Sus scrofa: one gene and its partners. The protein of the gene in region 3 binds, or shares a complex with, the protein of the main gene of each other region. Links are inferred from orthologs where the notes say so. Each region holds a gene or a part of one and is shown on either strand. Other genes may lie near its edges. The genes, in order: AP1G1, AP1S1 and AP1M1.

Region 1 (3,745 bases), on a different chromosome or scaffold from region 3:
TTATAGTTTCACTCTAAAATACACCTCCAAATCTAGAACTCCTGTCAGTGAAACAGATTAGAGAACAGCAATTGCTTCCAAAAGAAAATAAATTGAGGTTTCCTAAATGATGTTAATTTCAAGTACAATCTCAACCTCTTTAGACAAAGTAGATACTCAAGTCTGTGCTAATCAATCGATGGTGTTTTGCTTATCATTTGCAAAGCAAAAGGACACTTTCTCCAACTGAACACAAACCACCTAAGAATGAATGGTATTTAAATACCAGTACACAATTCCATGAAATAAACCGAGTAAATAATACCTATGTGATAGTTCTTCCAATACCTTGTTTTTAAAGTGGAACTCAAAAATGGAATATGTCAGTAGCAACTACAAGAGGATACTTAGTAAATGAGTGAGGATTCCATCTATGTTCTGTTTGACAGTTCTTTCAAGGAAAAGAGAAACTCCACAGCTTCAGAGTAAATACACAAATAGTAACTAATGTATTTTTGTAAAGTCTCCTTATAACAAATAACAAAAACACTATTTACAATGAAAACATTCACTCTTCTGAAAACATGACTAGCAGCGGAATTTATCTACCTGATAATAACCTGAGGATAAGAATAATACACTTATAAATGGATTAGAAGTACTAAAAAATCTGACCCAGTTCAAGTTATAAATCTAAGTTTAAATCACTAGGCTACAATTTCAAGTCAGTTATTATTCTTTTGCAGATGTAAAAATCCAGGCTGAGATGAAATACAAGTGACTCAATAACACTCACCTAACTTGAAATGTAGGAAATAATCAGTGAATTACTGTGAAATGCCTTTTATTCAAGCACGCTATAATATAAACATGTTAAGAGCAAAATAAAAGTAAGATTATGGGTATCTGGGGAGTCTATATTTTTAAACCAAAAAAGTTAAGGTGTATACAGTCTGACAAGTATTATGGGGAATAATGAAAGCGGATATTTAAAATCCAACTATCCCCAGAAAAATACAATACACGAAATTAATCCAAGTACTTTTTTAGAATCAGCCAACAAAGAACATTACTGTACAAACCAACTGAAAGTTAAGGTCACTAAGATATGTTCATTCACTCCTCTCTTCTGTTAAGCAATGCCCAGAGCAGCCGAAAAAGTTACTTTCCTTTCTATCTATGTCAGATTGAAATTCTTTTTCACAGGTAGATTTTCATAGGCAATGATATACACCATACATAAATATCAAAAAGTACCCAAAAGTTAAGTGTTCAGCATGGGAAGGGAACCCCACAAATGCGAAAACATTTGACAGCCTCTCCCTACCACCTCCTCTCCGCAAAGCCGTTTCATTAGCTTTACAAATATTTACACTCTGAGCGAGTGGTTCGACCCGTCTCCTACAACAAAACCCTAACAGGGAAACACAACCAACCGTCCTGACTCTCCCCAACAGTTAAGAAGACCGAGAGAATTATTAGTAGTTGACACCTACAGGATCAGGAGTTTGAGAGAAGATAAGCAGTGTATTGGCAGATGAGTTTAAGAAAAAAAGAAAATGAAAAAGAAACACCCGGAAAACTGGGAAAGAAGTTGGTAGGAAGGTTAGAGAGAGGCGAGGCCAATGTCCGGTTCTAAGAGAACAGCAATGCAGGTGCAGACAGCGACTAACGAAGCATTTGGAAACGCCGATGAGAGTTCTACGAAAGACCTGACAAGGGTACAAGATACAAGAACGCTGATACGTGGCACAGAGAAGACACGCGGGGGTGGGACCCGCCCGAGGTGGGACCCGCCCCGCTAACCCTAGGCTTTCTGAATGAGCCCTCAAAGAAGGATCTCAGCCTGAGAAAGTCAATGGGTTCAAGAAGGCCCACACCAGCCGGGCAACGCCGCAGCACGGAAGGCGGCCGCGCGCAGAGCCTCCCGGTCCGAGGCCTCGGGGTCGGCCCTCAAGAAGTCGAGGAGCTCCTGGGGCTCCGGGCCCCTACAGGCTCAGCCTCCGTCCTCTCTTCTCACCCCCCACGGCCTGGGACCGGACCCCTAGAATTGACAGGAAGTCTCCGGCCGAGCGCTCTTGACAGGCACTGGGCAAAAAAAAGCAGTATGCTCTTAGCGCCACGAGTGACACTCACCGGCCCGAAACCTCGAATGAAACCAGCAGCTTCGGGGGCGGCGGCAGCAGTGGCAGCAGGAACCGAACATCCAAAATGGCGGCTCCCTCAGCCTCACCACCGCTACTGCAGGCGGAAGGATTCTTAGGAGGGAGGGAGTTTTTTTTAACTAACTTCGCACACTATCGCAGAAACTTCAGTCCCTAGCTCCCTCTGCTTGTTGATCCCTTGTCCCCTGGCTGCAATTTCTCGTGCCTCCCCCCTCTTATTATCCAGGAACTCGGACCCCACCGAGGACTATTTGCCAAGGAGGAGGTGACTGCTCTGGCAGAGCGACGCAAAGCGTAGCAAAATTCGGGGCTGTCACTGATGACGCGAGACGCTGCTGCCGAGTCACCGCTGCGAAGAGTAGGAGCAAGAAAGATCCGGTCGACCCCGGGGCCCAGGGACATTGGTTCCGCTTGGGGTAGGGGGTGGGGAAGCTGGGCTACCAGGAAGTGGCGGGGCCACCTGAAGAGGGTGGGGCTTGCAAGGTAGCGGAGGAAGTGGAGAGCCGAGGCAGGTGGGGGCGGAGAACTCTGAGCTAGGCTAAGTGGGTCCTATGCCATGAGAACCCTAGATTCTTTTCCTATCTTCTTTGAGACCTTAGCATTCTCTTTAGGTTTAATTTCAGAAACATACTCCAAGTGATCTTGGACTCTGAGGTTTTATGGCACCTTGGAACGTATTTTGTGAAAATAGAGTTAGAAGGAGTTCCCGTTGTGGCTCAGCGGGTTGTGAACCCGACTAGAGTCCATGAGGATATGAGTGGGTTAAGTATCCGGAGTTGCCATGAGCTGTGGTGTACTCTGCAGACGCGGCTGGGATCCTTCCTTGCTGTCTGTGGCTGTGGCTTAGACCAGTAGCTCAGATTGGACCCCTAGCCTTGGAACTTCCATATGCCACATATGCGGCCCTAAAAAGCAAAAAAAAAAAACAAAAAAAAAAAAAAGCAGAAGACACAGAAGAACAGATTCCAACCCCAGTATCATCTCTCAACCTCCTGCATTGAACAAGACATTTAAAGTCTCTGGGACTCAGTTTTCTCATGTAAAAAAAGAGGATTTGGACTATCGATAGCTAAAACCTTTCAGAGTGTGCCTTCTCACTGACTCCATGCCATGATGACCTGCGCCAAAGACAGGCCAACTATACAGGCCAACCTGAGGCATCAGCCAGGTCCTGGCTTGATAAATAATTACTAACACCTTACACGAATATTTTCCACGTGCACATAAAGACTACCATGATATCTTGGCCTGTTTAAAGGAAAGGTGACCTATCTAAACTAAAATCATTCAGGTAGAATGGCAATAGAATATCCCCAAAAGTGAACAAAGCACAGCACCTAGCTAGATGACAAAGAGCTGAATCAACCACAAACCTTGAGTTTAGGACCTGTCATAGACAGGAGGTTTTTTTCCTTAGCCATTTTCAGGAAGGGATTTCAAAGCATTTTACAAAAATTGAGTAGGGCCACCTTACAATTTTGCTCTTGAACAATTGGGGCATGCCAAGGCTGGAAAGAAAGGAGACCAAGAGTGTAATAATAGTAACATCATTTTTATTAAATATTGATATTGCATTGTATATAATAAGTTCTTCATATATA
Region 2 (3,745 bases), on a different chromosome or scaffold from region 3:
AGGAGGCTGCAAGGGACGTGCCCAACAGACAAGACCGGACCTTTAGGACAGAGGGAGGTGCATGAAATAGGTGTCAGGTTGGACAAAACCAAAAGGGAACCAGAATTTCAGTCAAGGTGGCTGGAGTTCACCACTGGCCTCCAGAGGTCCTTAGCTCTCAGCTCTCCCTGATCTAAGGACTGCTTATTTCTCAGCCATGTGAACCCATAGCCAGACCCCAATCAAGCAGGAAACAGGTGGGACTGAGAGCAGGTGGGAAGTCACCTCTTATAGACGACTTTGAGGTCCCTCCACTCGAGGAAGCTGCACATCTTGGGCTTGCGAGCCAGAACAACCTGCATGAGCTCCCGAACCATCTTCTTTCGCTCCTTGTCTGATGTGGCCAGGTACCATTTTTGCAGCCGCAGCTTTCCCTGCCGGCTGAACAGCAGCATGAATCGCATCTGGGGGTGGAGGGGGAGAGTCAGAGCAGAAGGTCAGAGATTTGGTTCTCTGAGCTTGTTTCCTCCATAACTACGCAGCCCCAAACTCATCCCAACTAACGGTTCTACTCACAGCTCCTTTCTCCAACATGTCAGCCCTTGCTGTCAAGCCTAGGTGCTTCCACTAGCAGGTGTCAGAGCTTCTGAGTCTCTTATTCGGGTTCAAATCCTGGCTCCACTAGTTGAGTACTTTGCCTTGGGCAATTACTTTATGTCTCTGGGCTTCAGCTTCTTGGTGTGTAAGGTGAAAATAATAAAAGTCCCTACCTTACACAGTTGTTGAATGGGATGAAGAGAGTTGATAAATGACACAGTGCCCGGCAGGAAATGAGCACGTTAACACCTTAGGTGTTATTATTATTCCCTGATCTTCTGTTTCCTAATCATGTTTTCCAAAAGTGGGTAAAATGCTAGCACAGTGACAAGTAGCCTGTAGCTGAAATCAGGTATCTCATCCCTCGAGAAGCTACCTCAGTTCAACACCCCATCCCAGCCAGATACCCTAGCTGATGTCCCCAACACACTGCCCGCCAGTGCCAGGCCTATGCCCCAGGGTCTCCTTCATGTCAGCACATGATTCCACCCTCCTCTCTCCTCAGCCACCCAGGCATTTGGCCTCTGAGATTCCTCTTTTCTTCCTTTCAGGGTGCCACCTGCTACAACGCCCACACCTCCCCAGATACCAGGTGACCAATTTCCCTTCCAGTTCCTCAGTTTGGACACAGCCATTCAGAGTGGCTCCCCTAGGGAATGTTGTGGAACAAGTGCAAGAGGGTGGAGTGGGGAAGAGTGCAGAACCCTCGACCCCGTAAACCCCGCAAACCCCGCCGGCAGCTTCCCAGTTCCAGGGGTCTGGGTCACACCTGGAGTCATCTCCCTCACCCACTAGCTCTTGTCTCCGTGTACATTCCCAGGGCCGGAATCCTGGGGATGTGGAACAACACTAGCAGGCTAAAGATCAGAATTCAAGAGAACCGATTTTTTTTTTTTGCTGGCAGGGAAGGGGTAGCACTGCTAGCGTGGTGGGAGGGCCACGGAGGGGCTGAAGGGAGCCGTGCTCCGCTAAGATGGGGGGTGGGCCGGGCAGCAGGAAGACGGAAGGCCTGGGTTCCGGAAAGAGGATGAGGTGGGGGCGGAGAGGCCAGAGCACGCGAGCCGAGGAGCCAAAAGCTGGGTCCCCGAGAGCAAAACCTCGAGACCACTTGGCTTTCCCACCTCACTCCAGCCTCTAGGTGAGCAGGGCGGCAAACCGCGGCAGGACGTCCCCTCGTCACACCCGGAAACTATCCCCTCCCACACACACGGCCCTCCCCGCCGGCGGCCGCCGCTTCTCTGTGGGCTGCACGGGTACAGTCAGTCTGGGTGACCCGAGACCCCCCTCTGCCTTCCTCCTCCGACAGGCCCCGGTGCCGCTCTTCCTCAGGCGACTTCCCTGTGGCAGGGCTCGGGACCACTGGGTTCGCGACCCGCGCGTTCCCGCTCGCCCGGGCCAGTCCCGCCGCCCCCTAGTCACCCTCTCACCCCACAAATGTGCCCCCTCCCCGCCCCTTTGCCCTTAAGCCATTTCCAGCTGCTCTTCCTTTCGAGGCCGGCTGGCCCACCCGTCCGGATAAGTAAAGGCCTCTGAGGACCGGAGGGAAGGAAACGGCTCACACAGAGGGCGGCCCCCCAGGACCCCCGCAGGTGCAGCCCACGCCCCTCGGTTCCCCCTCCCCTCCCTCTTTGCACAGCCTACCATCCTGCAGCCTCCGGCCCTGCGCGTCCCTCTTCAGCCACCGTAGGCGCCAGCTCCACTCCCTTTCAGATCCCTTCGCCTCCTTCCCTCCCTCACGCTTGAAGCCCCGCCCCGTCCGCCCCGGCACGGAGAACCCATGCGATGCGTACTGCGCAGGCGCCAACGCTGCAGGGCGCGCAGGCGGGGCTGGGGGGCGGAGAAGCGGAAGCCATGGCAACCAGGTCCTCGACTTCAGCTTTGATTAGCTCTGTCGTCATGGTAACAAGGCTGTCTTGTGGGCTGGTTGGAGGACGGGGGAGGAGGACAATGAGGTCCTCGCGCTTTGGAACCTTGGGGGGAAAAGGCGGGAAAAGGGGTGAGAGATGGGTGAGATGACCGCTGGAGTTCATGAGGAAGTAGGGTGGTTTAATGGAAGGGGCGTGGGCGACTGAGAGGGAACAAGGTGGGAACTGTCTGTGGGGAAGGAAGAATGATGAGAAAGGCGAAGACAAAGGGTGGGGGGGGCAAGCTTGAGAAAAGTATGGAGCTCAAAATAGATATCTACTGAGAACCTGCTAGATGCAACACTCAAAGTAAGAGAGATTTGTAGGTAATGAGAGAGACCAGAAATAAAAGAAAAAGGAGGGGCTGATAGAAAACTGATGTAAGGAAGAGGGGGAGCATGAATTAAGGCAAAAGAGGAAGAAGTCGAGAAAATTTTAAAAGGTTAGCATAAATCAAAGCTAGGAAAGGGTCAGTTGTAACCCAGACACAAGTGTAAAGATGAGAATTGTCATACAAGCTTTTTGGCTGAGGATGTGCATGTTTGAGTGTGTATGCTTGTGTGTGTAAAGGAGTTTGCATATAAATAGGTAAGAAAATCTCAAACTTGCTGAAAAAATGGCATATTTCTAGATAATTCTTGGAAATTAATGGTGCTATTACTTATGAGCAGCACTTGAAGCAGTTGTTGGTAAGGTCCTACCTGTCTCCACTTTGTATTCTTTTTCCTTTACTCTTTGTTATGGAGGTAATATGCTTTAGTTGCCAGAGGGTGGGCCTAATTCACCTGGGATGCAATCTGGTCTCTGATTCTTATTTGATGTATAGTCTCAAGTGGGTCATTTGGGGGGGGGTACTGCTCTCACAGCATGCAGATGTGCCCAGGCCAGGTAATCCAACCCTCGCCACAGCAGAGATCCAAGCCACCAGATCCTTAACCCTCTAGGCCACCAGGGAACTCCTCAAGTGGATCATTTAACCCTCCTTTCCTCATTTTAAAAACGAAGATAGCATTACCTACCCTGCAAGTCTGATTTCAGGCTGTATATATCTGACACACTGTAAACACCTGATTTGGGTAGGGATTACGACTATTTGCTTTTTCCACCCTCTTCCTTCTACTATTTTTTCTTCCTTTCTTTTTCTTTTCCCTTTCTCCTCTGCCTGTATCATAGTCTTGCCAACGATGTCGGCTGAACTCTCTTGGTGTTATTTTTTAGGTCAAGAATTATATCAATAAAGCAAGGTGTTAGTGTTAGAAAGGGTA
Region 3 (3,745 bases):
GATGGAAGTTGCAGAGAAGTGAGAAAGATAAGGGGCAGAGAAATGTCCGTGGAGGGTTTTCTATCTGCTGAAAGTGGTCACGCTGGTTTCCTTGGTGATCAGAGGCTCTGGCTGTCAGGTAGACGAGTGGTTGTGAATGTATTGATGTGCCATTATCTTATTTTTGATTTAATGGAGTCTGCGCAGAAGGCCAACATTCAAAACATGAGGTCCGTGGGGCAGGGTGAGGGGGTGGGGGGCGGAGGATAATAAATAGCATGATGGTTACTCAGGACAGGAGGCTGCCTCTGGAGCTTCCTGAAAGGCATGTCTGATTATGCTTCTCCCAGGCTATGGTCTCCTCATGGTGGCTTTTCCTTCTTGAGATAAAATAGTCCCTTCTGTCCTGCCCTCCTGTTTGGACATCCTCAATACCCATGGCCTTCTTGATGCCATCTCCGAGGCTCCAGCACCAACTAGGACTTCTGGCTTGCCAGGCCCAATAGGCTGCCACTCACCCCTTGGGCCCACTGTGACACCTCCTTGTCCACCTGACTACCACCTGGTCACCTTCCCAGCTCTGGCCTCTCCTTCCTCCAGGAAGCCTTTCGTAACCACTTCTGCTGCCAGCCAAAACTAAGGTTGGGCAACTTCATTACCTGGGGCTTTGTCCTTGCCCTTGTTGCTAAGTACATCTGCCTATTTAGATCCATGTCTCTGTTTGGGTCTGTCAGCTTTCATGCACCTCCCCTGCCAGAGCTCGAGGTCCATGGGGACTAACATGGACTGTGGACCATGGGTGGTGCTGAGCTTGTCTTGAGCTCAGGGAGTTCACACACTTGCCCGAGGTCACGTAGCTGAGCAGCAGAGACAGGTTTTGAGCTCAGCCCTAACTCCTCAGGTCAACCCTGGACTTGGTGCATGTGAGGTGCTCATGAAATGTTTGCTGAAGAAACAAGTGATGTGAGCAGGCAGTCTGCGGCACTGCTGCGGACACGGTGACCATGGCAGAAACAAGAACATGTGCTACCAAGACACAGGGAACACTGCACCCTCCCAGTCCCTGGTGTGCCCTGTGCCCTCTAAGAAGGCTGGGGAAGGAAGCCTGGCCCAGGGCCTGTTGACTTTGGGTGGCCTCCAAGGCAGGCAACCCACTCAAGGGGCTCTGGGAAAGTGCTGGGGGTGGGGACTGGGGTGGCAAGGGACAGTCACTTTACCTCTTCACTCCCTACTGCTTCTGCGCTACTCCTGTTCCCTCCGCCTAGGCCTGGCACCCACTAACTCATCCATGAGGGGCCTGTTTTAATGTTGTTAGTCCTGTCTTTTCTTATTATTCCCCAATGAAAGAGGCCAGTTGCCTTCTAGAAGGAATGGACTTGGGGGGAAGACAGTAGGCCTCCTCTGAAAGCTTTGCAATCCCTCCTTTAAGAACTTTTCCCTGAAACCCCTGGGAAAAGCACCGAGGTTCTAGTTATGTCCAATTCCTCCATCATGTCTCAGCTGGGTTTGTCACTCCCCCTGGGAAGCCCTCCCTGACCCCCAGCGGAGGTGGACTTTCCTATTACATCCTCACTGCTCCACAACTTATATTTATTTGTGCTTTTTGAGATCAGTGTCCCTCTCGCCCATCAGATTGTGAGCTCCAGAAGGACAGGGACAGACTCTGATTTTGCTCTCCAAAGGCAACCCAAAGGTTAGCACCCTGCCCAGCACTTCGTAGATATTCCCCAAATACCAGCTGAATGAACAAATGATTCTGGGTTCCACTCCCAGACCTGCCACTTCTCTGTGACTGACCAGTGTGACCTTAGGCAGGTTGCATTTCCTCTCTGTGCCTCAGTTTCTCCCTCTGTAAAACAGCATTCCCACCACCCACCTCACCTAACCCTTATAACTCAATGTTACAATGAATGTTAAGAAACCCCTACAAGGACTGCTACAGAAAAGTCGCTGGATAAACAGAAGCTTCCGAGCTCTCGGAGAGCGGGACTGGCCTGAGGGCACAGTGTCCCCGCCACGCCTCACCACCTCCGGTCAAGGGTCGCCCAGCCCCGCGGCGTCAGGCCTGGCTTACATGCCGGCAGCGGCCCGCGCTCCTAGCGGCCTCGGGTTCCCCGGGACCCCCACGGAGGCCGGAGCTCATTGCCCACAGAGGTGAGGATGGGGGTCGTGCACGCGTTTACCTTGCAACGGCCGCAGCCCACCGCGTTACCTAGCAACAAGGCAGGACTCACAGACAGAAGACACCTTCTCGGTTACCTACCAACAGGGTAGAGCCCTCAGGTGAGGCCAAAGCTTCAAAGACCAGGGAGGCTCCCATTGGCCGGCTACCTAGCAACAGGGTGGGTCCCCAGGGGCGAGGCCCCGGCCAGTTGCCTGGCAACACCGAGGGTGGGGAGCCATCAGTACCTTGCCCTTCAGGTCCAGCACGTAGACGGCACTGGCGGACATGGCGGCTGCAAAAACCCTCGGCACTGGCCGAAGGCGGCGGCGACAGCGGTGACTGCCAGGCGGTGAGCCAGGCCGGGCGCACCCGAGACAGTTCCTCTCCACTTCCGGCCCGGGGAGTAGCGCGCGGACCGTTAGGTCTGGCCGTGGACGCGCTGCCAAAGCGCAGGCGCAAGGCGCCATGTGCGCAGGCGCAATATTCCCGATAAGGCCTTATTTTCCGCTCCTCCCTCAAGTATCCCGGAAGTAAGCTCTTAGGGGAGGGGCGGGGAGGGGCGGGGAGGGGCGGGGCCAAGCCGGGCGGACGGCGGAAGAGCAACTCTCTAGCTGCCTGGTTGGACGGCGAATGGCAGCTGGGAAAACTCATGTCGCTGGAAAATCCCACTTGGTGGGCCAAACTAGGTGAGAGATCCTGGTGGTGGAACCCACCGAGGGCCCAGCCATGTGGAACTCATAGTTTGGTGGGGAAGGCTGGGGAACAAATACATAGACACCAATTGTGATACACTTTATAAGGAGGGATAAGGTGGTGGTTACTTGGAAAGAACTCAAACTCTCTGAATGGCAATCGAGCCTCATCAACAGTAAGTTCCTGTCACCTGTCAGTGCTAACATTTGGTAAACAAGCGTGCAGTTTATTGCCTGAAATGATCTGAAAACCACGCCTCACTGAACCTAGGCAAAAAGGTGATTTATTTCTGTAGGTAGTGGTCACTGTGAGTAATGCAAATTGTGACTCCTGATTCATCTAATTGAATTATACCTTGTTTGCTTTTATGAATACTCGGCCTTTGGAGAAATGCTGCATTCTGTCCCAGTGAACCATCACAATGCCCTGGGCCCCAGGCCCTGCACTATCAGAACCATTTACCCCGGCTGCCTGCCTCTTACTTTTATCTTCCTTACTGCCTCCATTTTGGGTTTTGAGAGTTAGTTTTTGCAACTTTGTGGTTATATACCTTCTACTTAAGGTAGAGATGTAAGTGCAAGAAAATCCAGAGAAGAAAACTAGAACCTTTAAAGATTACCAGTGAATCCTGGGCATAAAGCAGCTGAGAAGCTTTTTGACACCGTCTCTTAAGCAATCTGATTATACCTAGCCTCACTCTGCCCAAATTATGTTTTTAGGAAAAAAGTGTCTTTTTTTTTCTTAAATTACAAAACTGTACATTGCACTGAAGAAATCAGGAAATGCCAAAAAGTATAAAGAAATCCACATGGGAGCGGTAACCCCTCTCATTATGGAGGATTTCCTTTCAGACTTGCTCTGGGCATTTTATTATTTTTTTCTCTCTGTGAGATGTAAATGTTCTACAAT

The links.
Region 1: the proteins of AP1M1 (region 3) and AP1G1 are in contact, whole or in part, in a cryo-EM structure (PDB 7R4H), measured with the Mus musculus proteins. The link is inferred for Sus scrofa from reciprocal best matches to the Homo sapiens genes AP1M1 and AP1G1. Residues at the interface, in NP_031482.1 of Mus musculus: Ser289, Asn318, Asp319, Ala320, Asp321, Ser322, Trp334, Pro336, Glu337, Asn338, Ser339, Gly361, Leu362, Pro363, Ser364, Val365, Glu366, Ala367, Glu368; in NP_001288140.1 of Mus musculus: Arg24, Glu25, Gln28, Lys29, Ala32, Arg35, Ser36, Arg39, Glu40, His64, Phe65, Gln67, Leu68, Gln97, Val99.
Region 2: the proteins of AP1M1 (region 3) and AP1S1 are in contact, whole or in part, in a crystal structure (PDB 1W63), measured with the Mus musculus proteins. The link is inferred for Sus scrofa from reciprocal best matches to the Homo sapiens genes AP1M1 and AP1S1. Residues at the interface, in NP_031482.1 of Mus musculus: Lys12, Glu31, Asn186, Asn188, Val189, Leu190, Glu232, Glu234, Asn270, His272, Arg421; in NP_031483.1 of Mus musculus: Lys26, Lys30, Arg33, Glu34, Gln37, Lys43, Glu51, Trp52, Arg53, Asp54.

The regions. Positions count from the first base shown.
Region 1 is NC_010448.4:14,807,295-14,811,039, forward strand, and holds the start of AP1G1 (AP-1 complex subunit gamma-1), read right to left. Parts: upstream 2,528-3,745; 5' UTR 2,116-2,527; intron 1-2,115. UniProt on the Homo sapiens protein: Subunit of clathrin-associated adaptor protein complex 1 that plays a role in protein sorting in the late-Golgi/trans-Golgi network (TGN) and/or endosomes.
Region 2 is NC_010445.4:8,879,604-8,883,348, reverse strand, and holds the start of AP1S1 (AP-1 complex subunit sigma-1A), read right to left. Parts: upstream 2,357-3,745; 5' UTR 2,221-2,356; coding exon 2,218-2,220; intron 1,715-2,217; exon of another isoform or gene 1,585-1,714; intron 444-1,584; coding exon 265-443; intron 1-264. UniProt on the Homo sapiens protein: Subunit of clathrin-associated adaptor protein complex 1 that plays a role in protein sorting in the late-Golgi/trans-Golgi network (TGN) and/or endosomes.
Region 3 is NC_010444.4:61,383,546-61,387,290, forward strand, and holds the start of AP1M1 (AP-1 complex subunit mu-1), read right to left. Parts: upstream 2,584-3,745; 5' UTR 2,431-2,583; coding exon 2,389-2,430; intron 2,274-2,388; exon of another isoform or gene 2,163-2,273; intron 1-2,162. UniProt on the Homo sapiens protein: Subunit of clathrin-associated adaptor protein complex 1 that plays a role in protein sorting in the trans-Golgi network (TGN) and endosomes.